Linked DNA regions of Coturnix japonica. The main gene of each other region encodes a partner of the protein of the gene in region 2 in a complex. Links are inferred from orthologs where the notes say so. Each region holds a gene or a part of one and is shown on either strand. Other genes may lie near its edges.

What was found.
Region 1: the proteins of SEC31A (region 2) and PDCD6 are in contact, whole or in part, in a crystal structure (PDB 3WXA), measured with the Homo sapiens proteins. The link is inferred for Coturnix japonica from reciprocal best matches to the Homo sapiens genes SEC31A and PDCD6. Residues at the interface, in NP_001070675.1 of Homo sapiens: Asn837, Pro838, Pro839, Pro840, Pro841, Gly842, Phe843, Ile844, Met845; in NP_037364.1 of Homo sapiens: Val31, Val35, Leu48, Ala51, Leu52, Ser53, Asn54, Gly55, Thr56, Trp57, Phe85, Trp89, Ile92, Gln96, Phe99, Phe148.

What each region holds. Positions count from the first base shown.
Region 1 is NC_029517.1:80,106,809-80,112,113, reverse strand, and holds the end of PDCD6 (programmed cell death protein 6), read right to left. Parts: intron 5,074-5,305; coding exon 5,029-5,073; intron 4,283-5,028; coding exon 4,124-4,282; intron 3,939-4,123; coding exon of another isoform or gene 3,898-3,938; intron 3,626-3,897; coding exon 3,516-3,625; intron 1,958-3,515; coding exon 1,859-1,957; 3' UTR 1,404-1,858; downstream 1-1,403. UniProt on the Homo sapiens protein: Calcium sensor that plays a key role in processes such as endoplasmic reticulum (ER)-Golgi vesicular transport, endosomal biogenesis or membrane repair.
Region 2 is NC_029519.1:41,241,893-41,246,590, forward strand, and holds part of SEC31A (protein transport protein Sec31A), read left to right. Parts: intron 1-1,307; coding exon 1,308-1,506; intron 1,507-2,314; coding exon 2,315-2,410; intron 2,411-2,960; coding exon 2,961-3,101; intron 3,102-3,880; coding exon 3,881-4,023; intron 4,024-4,685; coding exon 4,686-4,698. UniProt on the Homo sapiens protein: Component of the coat protein complex II (COPII) which promotes the formation of transport vesicles from the endoplasmic reticulum (ER).

The sequences.
Region 1 (5,305 bases), on a different chromosome or scaffold from region 2:
TCCTCCAGGAAGTGTAGTGCAAGTAAGTAAGTTTCTGGAAACGCAGAAAAACTGAATCAAAGTTAAGGTGTTTTCAGCTGAGGTCTCCATAGTTGGTTTATTTTTTTCTACTTTGGACTCCTTGTGGGATTTTACTGCACGCACTGTATATCCCAGCGGCACACAGTGGCTGAATGATGTCTTCCCCAAGAAGATGCTCTTTCTTCTTCCACATTCCCTTATTTTTCAATCTGGGGAAGAGTTTCTGGTTCCTGCCTGTTGCACAGGATGAGGGGTGTCCCAGGGGGAGGGAAGTTGTGTCATCCTTTCAGTCACTTCTCCAATAGTGTTATATAAGAGAAGACCTCCTCCTGTTTCTGTTTCCCTGTGCTGGCTAATTTCCTTGTGTCAGCTTCTGGCTGCTCGCTCCCAAGAAACCTCTGTGCCCTGTCTTGCTCCCATGTAGTAGAGCACTGGAACAGAATGAGTGCTGTGTGTATGTTCCTGTTTCCCTGGGCACTGGGCCTTCTTTAGGAAGCAAGCTTTACAAGGTAGGCATTGATGGGCTGCAGACCGCACTGTAAATGTTTGCTGTCCATCAGCAGCAGTGCAGTTACACCACGCCCTTTGGCACAAGGCAGCATTTCTGAGGCTGTACCAGAGCCTTTTGAACCAATTGTACTTTTCCTTAAAACACCAGTGATAAAAATCCAGGATCAAACATGCTTTGAGGGGGTAACTTGTGTACTTCCCAGCCAGGTTACTTGCTTTTCCACCTTCAGCAGCTCTTCTCCTGAGGTGAGCCGTTCCAGCTGGTCACTGGTGAATTTTCTGCACCAGCACAGCTCCTAAAGTTCTACAGCAGTCAGATACCGTAACTTTGTAAATACATCTTGAAGAACAACAGCTTTGGGTAGAGGAAGTTTTCTTTTAGGGTAATCCCAGGGAGCTTGTTAAATTTCACTTCCTCCAAGTTGCTTCTTGAAAATGACCGTGTAAAAGGGAACCTTAAGTAAGTGCTTTATATAGATCTTTGCTTGTTTTCCATTTTAAATGATGAGATTGAAAGCAAGGTTTTGAGAATGCTTGACCATCAAGGACGCTTCAGAATGGATTATTCTGAACCCAAAAAGGATTATTTGCATTAAGAGGGAACCATACTCTATAATACCCAGGGGATATAAAAGGTTGTAGGGAATCAACTGAAGAAGATGCAGTGGTGGAAGTCAGTGGGAAGACGTTACCTTTGCAAATGGCCTAAGGATACCCTGAAAGAGAGAGGAAGCTAGAAAGTAAAGACAGAAAGCAGAGAAGAAAAGGCCAGCCTTGTTAAATAGACCCTGCACTGTAAAAAACAAACCCAAGAACTGCAACATGGGAACACGGCCACCAGCCTACAACAAACTGCACAAACACAGACCGTATGTGTTGGTCTCACATTTTTACTTAATTTTAAGTTCTGTATTAAAAATTAATACATCAGACTCTTAGAAAAGTAAGGCACATGCAAAACATGTTGTGCAACTTCTGAGGTTTTCCTCTTACAAACTAACAAGCGTTAATTGAATTTGGCGTTTCTAAAGTGTCCTCTGTCCCCATGCAGGATATGTGGAAGAAAGTTAAGTTAGGTTTGACACGGCACCATCTAGTTACATCTAGACTCTGTGCTTTCTGTGCTACAGTAAGCACGATATGGCTGATCTTAGAGTTGTAGAACACAAAAACAAACATTGATTCTGAAAGCAATGACTGATGTACATACAAAATTTACCACTGCGAAATTATATCCGTTACAATACATCGATAACCTTATTCAGTACATGATGATTTGGCAGCTCCAGTCTGTGTAATGCCAGTGCGGGATTCCCAGGTGTCGATATCATACAATGCTGAAGACCATGCAGAGGTACTGCTCGTAGGACACCTGAATCCAGCCATCCTGATCAGTATCGTACCGTCGGAATACATCAGTCAGCCTCTAAAAATGTAGAGAAAGAAGAAACATTTTTGTACACAGGGGAAGATCGGACTGCCACACTTCCATGTATGAATGCTGCTTCTTTGTGCCCTCTAGACACAACACAGGGCCAGGCACACAGAGGGAGCTTTTTGCTGTGTCTCATGCTTGGATCTGATTTTGTTACCTATCTATCTCAGGACACACCTAAGCCTATCCTAAGCACTTGTTTATAAGCCAGAGCGCTCTTTATATCTGGCTCTTCAGGAGGTGGGAACAAAGTGAAACTCTGGATACCTTTGAGAGTCAGCTGTAGGCAGGATCCAAAGAGTACTATTTGTCTTCTAGCCCAGTCTGCTCAATGCATCACTAATACCTTGGTTGTCTCTCAGCAATCCCCCAGCGGACGGGCAGCGCTGGCAGTGGAGCAGAACAGCTACTGCTGTGGTTTCACTGACAGCACATGAATGATGAGCAACAGCAAAGCCCTCTTCACTAGAATTTAAGCTCATAGCAAATCAAAATTGGTTCATACTGCAAGTGAATATAAAAGCAGTACGTGCTTCAGTGGCAGCATGTGACATAAGGCTGTAAACATAAAACTAAAGAAGAACAAAGCGCTTAAGGCAGATGATGAGGATACCAGTTACACAGAAGCAGAGTTGTAGGGGCTGGAGGGGACCTCTGGAGATAGTGTTTAAGTCCAACCCCAGAGCCTTATTTCTTTATTATTGCAAGGTGGAAGATAGCTAAGGTGCCATGGAAACACTAGTTGTACTAAGGAAAAAAAAAGGAAAAATTCATCTTCCAGCATACTAAAATGGAGCTTGCCCATTGCTGAACTTTCCCAACTTTCCCTCAAAGTCTTGTCTACGTTTCATGAAGGCTACAGACTCTTAGAGAAACCATTGGGTGATTTATTTCTAAACAGAAGAGTATACGTGCAGAGGGATAGTCTCTTTCTCTCCCTTCTCTCTTGCTCCCCATAAACATTCCTATAACTGAAAGGGTGGGTTGGTTTTCTGTTGCTGTTTGGTTTGGCTTTTGTTTCATTTTGTTTAGAATGTCTTTTACTACCACTGCCCCTGCAGGAACAGCAGAGACAAAAGATCAAATAATTCAGCTGTTAGTCCAAAATGTTGTAAATCAGAGCCTTAGGCAGAGATAGGAAATCCTCACAACTTAGATTGCAGATTGGAGTATGCTCAAGAGGGCAACATGGGACATAACACGCTCCAGCTTGAATGCATCCTAGATCCAAAGAGACTGTATATCAGAGCTAATGAAAAGAGCACTGAATGTTTTCCTGAGGATATTTTTCTTTTTATCATCCCATTAAAAATACTTAAGAGGTCAAAAGGAGCTTAAAGATTTATCTGTATGGGATGCAAGTGGATAACAAGTGAAGATGTACACTTGGAGATGTTTCTGTCATCTCCTGTACGCTTTATTCAAGTGGATGATTATTCACAAGCACGTTCTAGTTTCAGTATTATAAAGTGAGAACCATAAAAGTTTGAGAAAAGACAGGTGTTGTTTTTTTTTTCAATTGACATTAAAAGTACATCTCCTTTCTTACCTGTAAAACAACACAGCACTGAATAAAGTCATCAAAAGCAACTTGGCCTTTTCCTTGTCTGTCAAACTTCCGAATAAGGGTATCGTAGAACTGATCAGACAGCCGGTAACCTTGGACAAGAGAAATCCTTTAGGATGATTCAATTACTACAGACTTTCTGCTAGGTGGTTTGGCGGGCATGGGCAACAGAAGCAGAAAACACAAGTTACGAGAGCTTTGTTTTTTCCTGCTAAGTACATCTACTGAACAACACAGGTGTACAGACAGAAGGCATGCAATAGAAACCATGGTCAATAACAACAGTTACACACAGTACATGTTATGGACTGAAGTGACAATTGGTTTACTAGCAGAATGGAAAAAGCAGTTCACACACACGTACCAGCAAGTGCGCTTTCATTTCCTCCATACGGGGAAATACTTCTAAAAAGCAAGCCAACAGTTGCAACAGGGCTGCAACCAGGGCAGAGCGCCTCTAAGAGGTTCCTCATCCTACTGCCTTTCGCTTGTCTCATTTCTATTTCTAGCCGTGCGTCCCAGCAGCAGCCCTGACAATACTGAGGTCACATAATGTGGTATCGTAAAAACTGTAATTACGAATGAATTACCAAAACCTGTTAGTGCTTGCTTTAGTTCACTTTTGTCAATCATTCCAGAATTGTCCCTGTCATACGTTCGGAAGACGTTCTGCCAATCTGTGATGTACTTCCAGACTCCCGTGAATTCATTGAAATTCACACCGCCTTTGTTTTCTCTGTCAAACATGCCTGAAATAAAAACAAGAAAGCCATATAAAAATCTCAGCTCTGCCAGGTCTTCGGGAAGATGTGCTGGTGCTTTAAGACAGAAGTGAGATGCTTTAGGGAGTACTGACAACAGGCGAGGAATTACTAAAATACAAGTGATATTTAAGTCGTCCGCCAAAGGAGGAAAGAATTGAGCAAGAAAATCAGAGTGAGTCACACAATATTTATTTTTCCTGGTTTTTCATTTCCAGTTTCAAAGGGTTTGATGGATAACCCAGTGACAGAATGAGAAAACGAGGTTTGCTCTTCTCTAAGGACTTGTGAGAAAGCCTACAATGTCTACGGACTGCCAGAAGCATTGGAACATTGATCAGCTTTTGGCTTACAGATCCCATCCCCTTTATGGAGAGGTAGCACATTGCACGGGGATGGAATGCTGACTGCTGCTGAGCAAGTTTTAAACACAGGGCATTCATTTACAGTTCAAAAGGGTCAATACTTCAGTTGATATCTTCCAACTACTGAGAAAAAAACAACAAGACTTAGAAAACCACGGCATCTTTACAGTCACAGACCAGCTCACTAACACTATGACCAGATTGGTTCACCAGACCTTTAAATATGTATTCAACTTTACAGTAGAAAAACACCTTGTACACGTATTGTGATAACTGTACATATTTGATTCCGCAGTGACTGCTTTCTCATACCGGAGCTGAAAAACCAGCAGGGTCTTTGCCTACTTGACAGCACGCAGTCGTACTCACCGAGAATTGACCTGACTGTTGCTGGATTGAATGGAGTCCATGTGCCTGAAACAGAAAGAATTACTCAGTTCCTTGAGGCAACATTCAAAACAGGCAACTGAACAGCAAGCAAAGAGCCATAAGAACTAGAAACAGTGAATTCAGAGCTAAGCAAGCTACTCCTCATTTAACAAAGCTGCTTTGAAGTAACTGTGGTCTTGATGACTTCTGACCAATGCTCTAATAATGTTGCACAGAAACCCAACATTTTTCAGTCTGCATAAAAAAACACCCCAAA
Region 2 (4,698 bases):
GCAGAGGGATTGAAATGAGGGCTGCTTTTGCACGCATTGAGACTGTGGCCCTGTTTACAAACATCTTCCTGGTTTGAGTAAACAGCTGTTGCAGTGGCTTATGCAGGAGGAAACAAAGTGTTGTGCTGCTGGCTTTGATCTGTGTCATCTCTGTAGCGATAATTCCCTTGGCTGCTGCTGGGGCTTGCCCATCAGTGCCCTGCAGTCATTGCTTTTGTAATATGTGGGGAGGTGAGGAAGAGCCAGCAGAGCCACAGAATGCCTGAAGGCCTGAGCTGTGGGCAGAGCTGCTGTTGATACTCCTTAGTGATCCACTGGCGGCAGAGTGAGGAGTTTGAACCTGGATTTTGCCTTTTCTTAACCCATTTGAAATATAACTGATACTTTCAGAGCTTACTAACTGGCTTTTGCTTTACTGGGTTTCAGAACACACTTCTTACAGGCAGTATGCTGAACTCCTTTAAGAGTGCTTCCTTTGAGTGTTTGACTTTGCCCCCAGAAAATGACTTACAAATTAAATAGACAGAAATTGAATGTGGTAACAGGTTCTGTTACTTGTCCTCCCATGGAAAATTTCTAGGGGCTGTTATAGAACCGTATCTTGAAAAGGGCAAAGTGCAAAAGGAAAACGATTACACGATTAATTCGTTTTTGTTCCTCAGCCTTTTCTGTTTTCTTTTAGGATACTTAAGGCCTGTTGAATGTTGCTGACAGTACAATACTAATCCTCTCTGTTGATTGTTCCATTTCTTCTACCCTTGCCTAGTTACACGCTGAATTACAGAAATCAGGATACCCAGAGAAAGGGTTTGCCTGATACCGTAAAGTAGCTCGTCAGTGTAGTGTAAGCTTTCTGCTTGCCTAACATCTGTGATGTGGTAGTGTGTTGTTATATGTAGAAGAAAACTATGCTTTATGTGGTCTAATACCCAGGAATGCTGTTTTGTTTATTCAACAAGTTTGGTTTGAAGGAAATATGTGTGGGCTTTTTTTGTGCAGTGGCACGGAGGCTTGAAAGGGCTTGTGGAAGTGTATTTGATTCCTCTAATTCAGCTTGGGAAATAGATAGCGGTCCAAGTGACGTGTTTCTGATGTAAGTCATTTGCTGAGCGTCTAGTACTACAGATGGAATATTTGCACTTTCAGGAGCACTGATGAGGAAAAGGTTTGGGAGTTCTTTTCCAGCTCCATCTGTTTTTCTCTCCCTTGTACAACCAGCTGCCCACAGATAGCAGAGGCTCACCTCCAGGCTTATTGCTCGTATTATGGTGTTGGATGGCTGCAGCCTGTGTCTGTCTGTCGTGCAGGTACCACAAGCTGATCTGGGGGCCTCACAGCATGACCGCAGGCGAGAGAGTCTCTGGAGTCCTGATTGCTGGGGGTGAGAATGGGAATGTCATTCTGTATGACCCAGCCAAAATCATAGCTGGAGAATCCGAAGTGATAATTGCTCAGAAGGACAAGCACACGGGACCAGTGAGAGCACTTGATGTCAACATGTTTCAGGTGGGTTTTCGGTTGTTTATCATGTTCAGTCTTGGATGAGTGGCCTGTTTTAACAGATTGTTGCCACACACAGCTCTAAATATTTCACTTGGAAAAGGGAGTCAGAGCAAATACACCATGGTGCAGCCTCTTAAGGCAGAACTCTCAAGCTTTTCTCACTTGCTGATGAGAGTTTAGTTGCTTCTAGATTCAGCGGGTCAGCTTTTCCTCAGCCCCCCACCAGCTGCATGAGAACTGAGTTGATTTTGTTTCCTAAATAACGCTTCTGTCTATACACACTTACTTTTAGCAAGGCCACCCTTTGTTCATTGTGCCTTCTCTGAAGAGCTTCCTCTCTTTCTGTCCCTTATGAAGTTAGGACTTGCATGTCAGCGGCTGTAGGATGCAGACAAAGGGTGCTCGGTGCCACTAAACCACATCACACTGCCTGGATGTTTGCATCCTGGCCACAGGATTGGGCTGGAGGCTCAAGTGCCATGTTCCCTCCAGCCAGCCCGGCCCTGGGGCAAAATGCTGCTTCCCCATCTGCTCTATCCTAGAAATGTCAGCACTGGGCCCTCTGTGGCTGTAGCTTCTTCACATGTTTGCCATGCAGTGGAGGAACCCTCAGTGAGACAGAAATCTTGTTCTTGGCACACTGGTCTGATTTGGTGTGGGGAGTTCCTTTACTTACTTGGCATTTATCTTCAATCTCTGGTGTTGCTGCTTTTCCCTTAAGAAGAAATTGGCACAGACTCGTCAGTCTGTGGCTAAGACTGCAAAAGCTGGTGCTGAAAATACTCTTACCATATTTTAACGTGTCTTACAGACTAATCTGGTGGCCTCTGGTGCTAATGAGTCTGAAATCTATATCTGGGACTTAAATAATTTTGCCACACCGATGACTCCGGGAGCAAAGACACAGGTACTAGATAGGTATTCATGAAATACTGCAGAGTAAACTAATGGAAAACACGAATGTTACTTAGGATGTGAGCTCATTAAGACCGACAGCTTTGAAGCTGCCTGGGGGTGGGGGAGAGTGTTAAAATTTAACTTGAGTATCAGTTAATTGCAATTAACAGTGAGCTGCATTTCTGGCAATCTTAGTTACAGTCTATGTGGTAAAACAAATAACGAATACCTTCATATTAATGTAAGTAAAACCAAGTTCCTTTGCTGTATGTTGTTCCTGAGTGACTTTAGTTTGTTTTCATGTGGTCATTTTGAAGGAAGCTTGCTTTTGTTAAGGATTCCTGTGTAGGATTTTCTGTGCTGGGAGGTCTGTTTTTAAGCTGTGCAGTCTTTTAGTCCATGTGCTTATTGACTTTAGGGAATGCAGTGCGCCAAGAAGGGCTGGGTTAGCATTGCTTTTCTGTTCTGGGGGAAGGAAGTAGAAAAGCTAACAAACTTTCCCCACTCCTTAAGACATTATTTTGGAAAGGGTGTGACAGGCTGTGCTGTTTGTGTGGCAGCCTCTTGAAGACATCAGCTGCATTGCGTGGAACAGGCAAGTCCAGCACATCCTGGCCTCCGCCAGCCCCAGCGGTCGAGCTACTGTGTGGGATCTCAGGAAAAATGAACCCATCATCAAAGTCAGCGACCACAACAACCGGGTGAGTTAGCTCTGGCACAACTGCATCGGTACTTACAGGGAAGTGCAGGTGGCTTGGATGTCACTGGCAGAGCTTGGCAAGGATAGGTCGTGGTGATGGAACACCACAGAAGAATTTAACCCATGACCTGATTACCCCTACTCCCATATGCTTAAAGCCATCACACCTCCCATGCTGTCAATACAGAAAAGAGCCCACTTATCTTATGGAGAGTGAAATATTTGTATGATTTGTTATAAATATAAGTGAGTATTGCTATAAAAACACTGAGGGTGTAGCAAGTTCAGGATAAAATTTACGTGTGTGTGCTCCTGAATGAGCTGCTTGGTCACTGCATTCCTGCTCAGATAAGCTTCCTAACTTCATATTTTACATATCTGTTCCTTGATGTAATAGCAGTACGGTAAGCTGTTTTCACTGTGTAATTGTAATGCTCTGATGGAGCTTTCATGTGATGATAGCCTCTGCGTAATGATGGCTTTTATTAAAATACCAATAAATACTAAAGTAGTGAAAAAACTCTGTTCAGCTGCTTTTACAGTATTCTTGTATTAAAACAGTTATAAACAGGAGAGCCTTCAGGATCTCACTCCAAGTCTCGCTCGTGGAGATGAGGACAGTATCCCAATCTCAGTGCAGTCAGAAGCAACATCCAGAAGTACAGCTGCTAATTGGCATCTTGAGATTGTGTTTTCCTTGCAAATCTATTTAGACTGGTGGCCTTCTGTCCTTTAGCACTATGTGGTTACCCTGTGCTGTGGCACAATGTTATCCCTTAGATGCACTGTTCGGGCCTGGCCTGGCACCCCGATGTTGCTACCCAGATGGTTTTGGCTTCGGAGGATGACAGGTTACCCGTGATTCAGATGTGGGACCTTAGATTTACCTCCTCTCCACTGCGTGTTTTGGAAAGCCATACGAGGTACGAGACGCTTGTTGTGACCTGCTGCTCTTTAATGTTCACACTGTTTATGACTATAGCAGTTAGTTCATCTCACTGTTTGTGTGGTTCCCTACCAATGCTTGCTTAGGTGGAGCCACTTTCCAGCAGCAAGCAGTGTTGGATACTGCTGGCTGGAAGGGAATGGGCCTCACATTAAAAATAACTTTAAAGTTCCTGGTTTGCTTCTGTTCTGTTTGAGAAGCAGCTGGACTGCAAGGTCGGCAGTAGATTGATTTACGTAAAGAGCAGCAGTGTCTGTGTTGCAGCTACCGCCAAAACTGCTGCCAGTCGCTCAGCTGATACAGATTTTCTGCTAATAAAAAGCTGTCAGAATGTTGATAATCACTGTTTCAACCTATTAGTTTGCATAAAATGTGTTAATGATGGTGCAATCAGTCGAACCATTTGAGTGGATTGGTAACCATATCTGCATACAGAAGTGTTGAATTTAATTTTATTTAATTGAATTTTATTTATGGTGACTGTACCTTTACAGCTACTCATGCAAAAAACAGAAGAAGGAGTGGGGAGGACATTTTGACGTAGACTGCTCAGCTACTGTAGCAACTTGCTGACAAACATGCTGTATCACCATTTTGCATTCGTATTAATATGTTACTTGGTTGTGACTTCTCACACAGGGGTATATTGGCT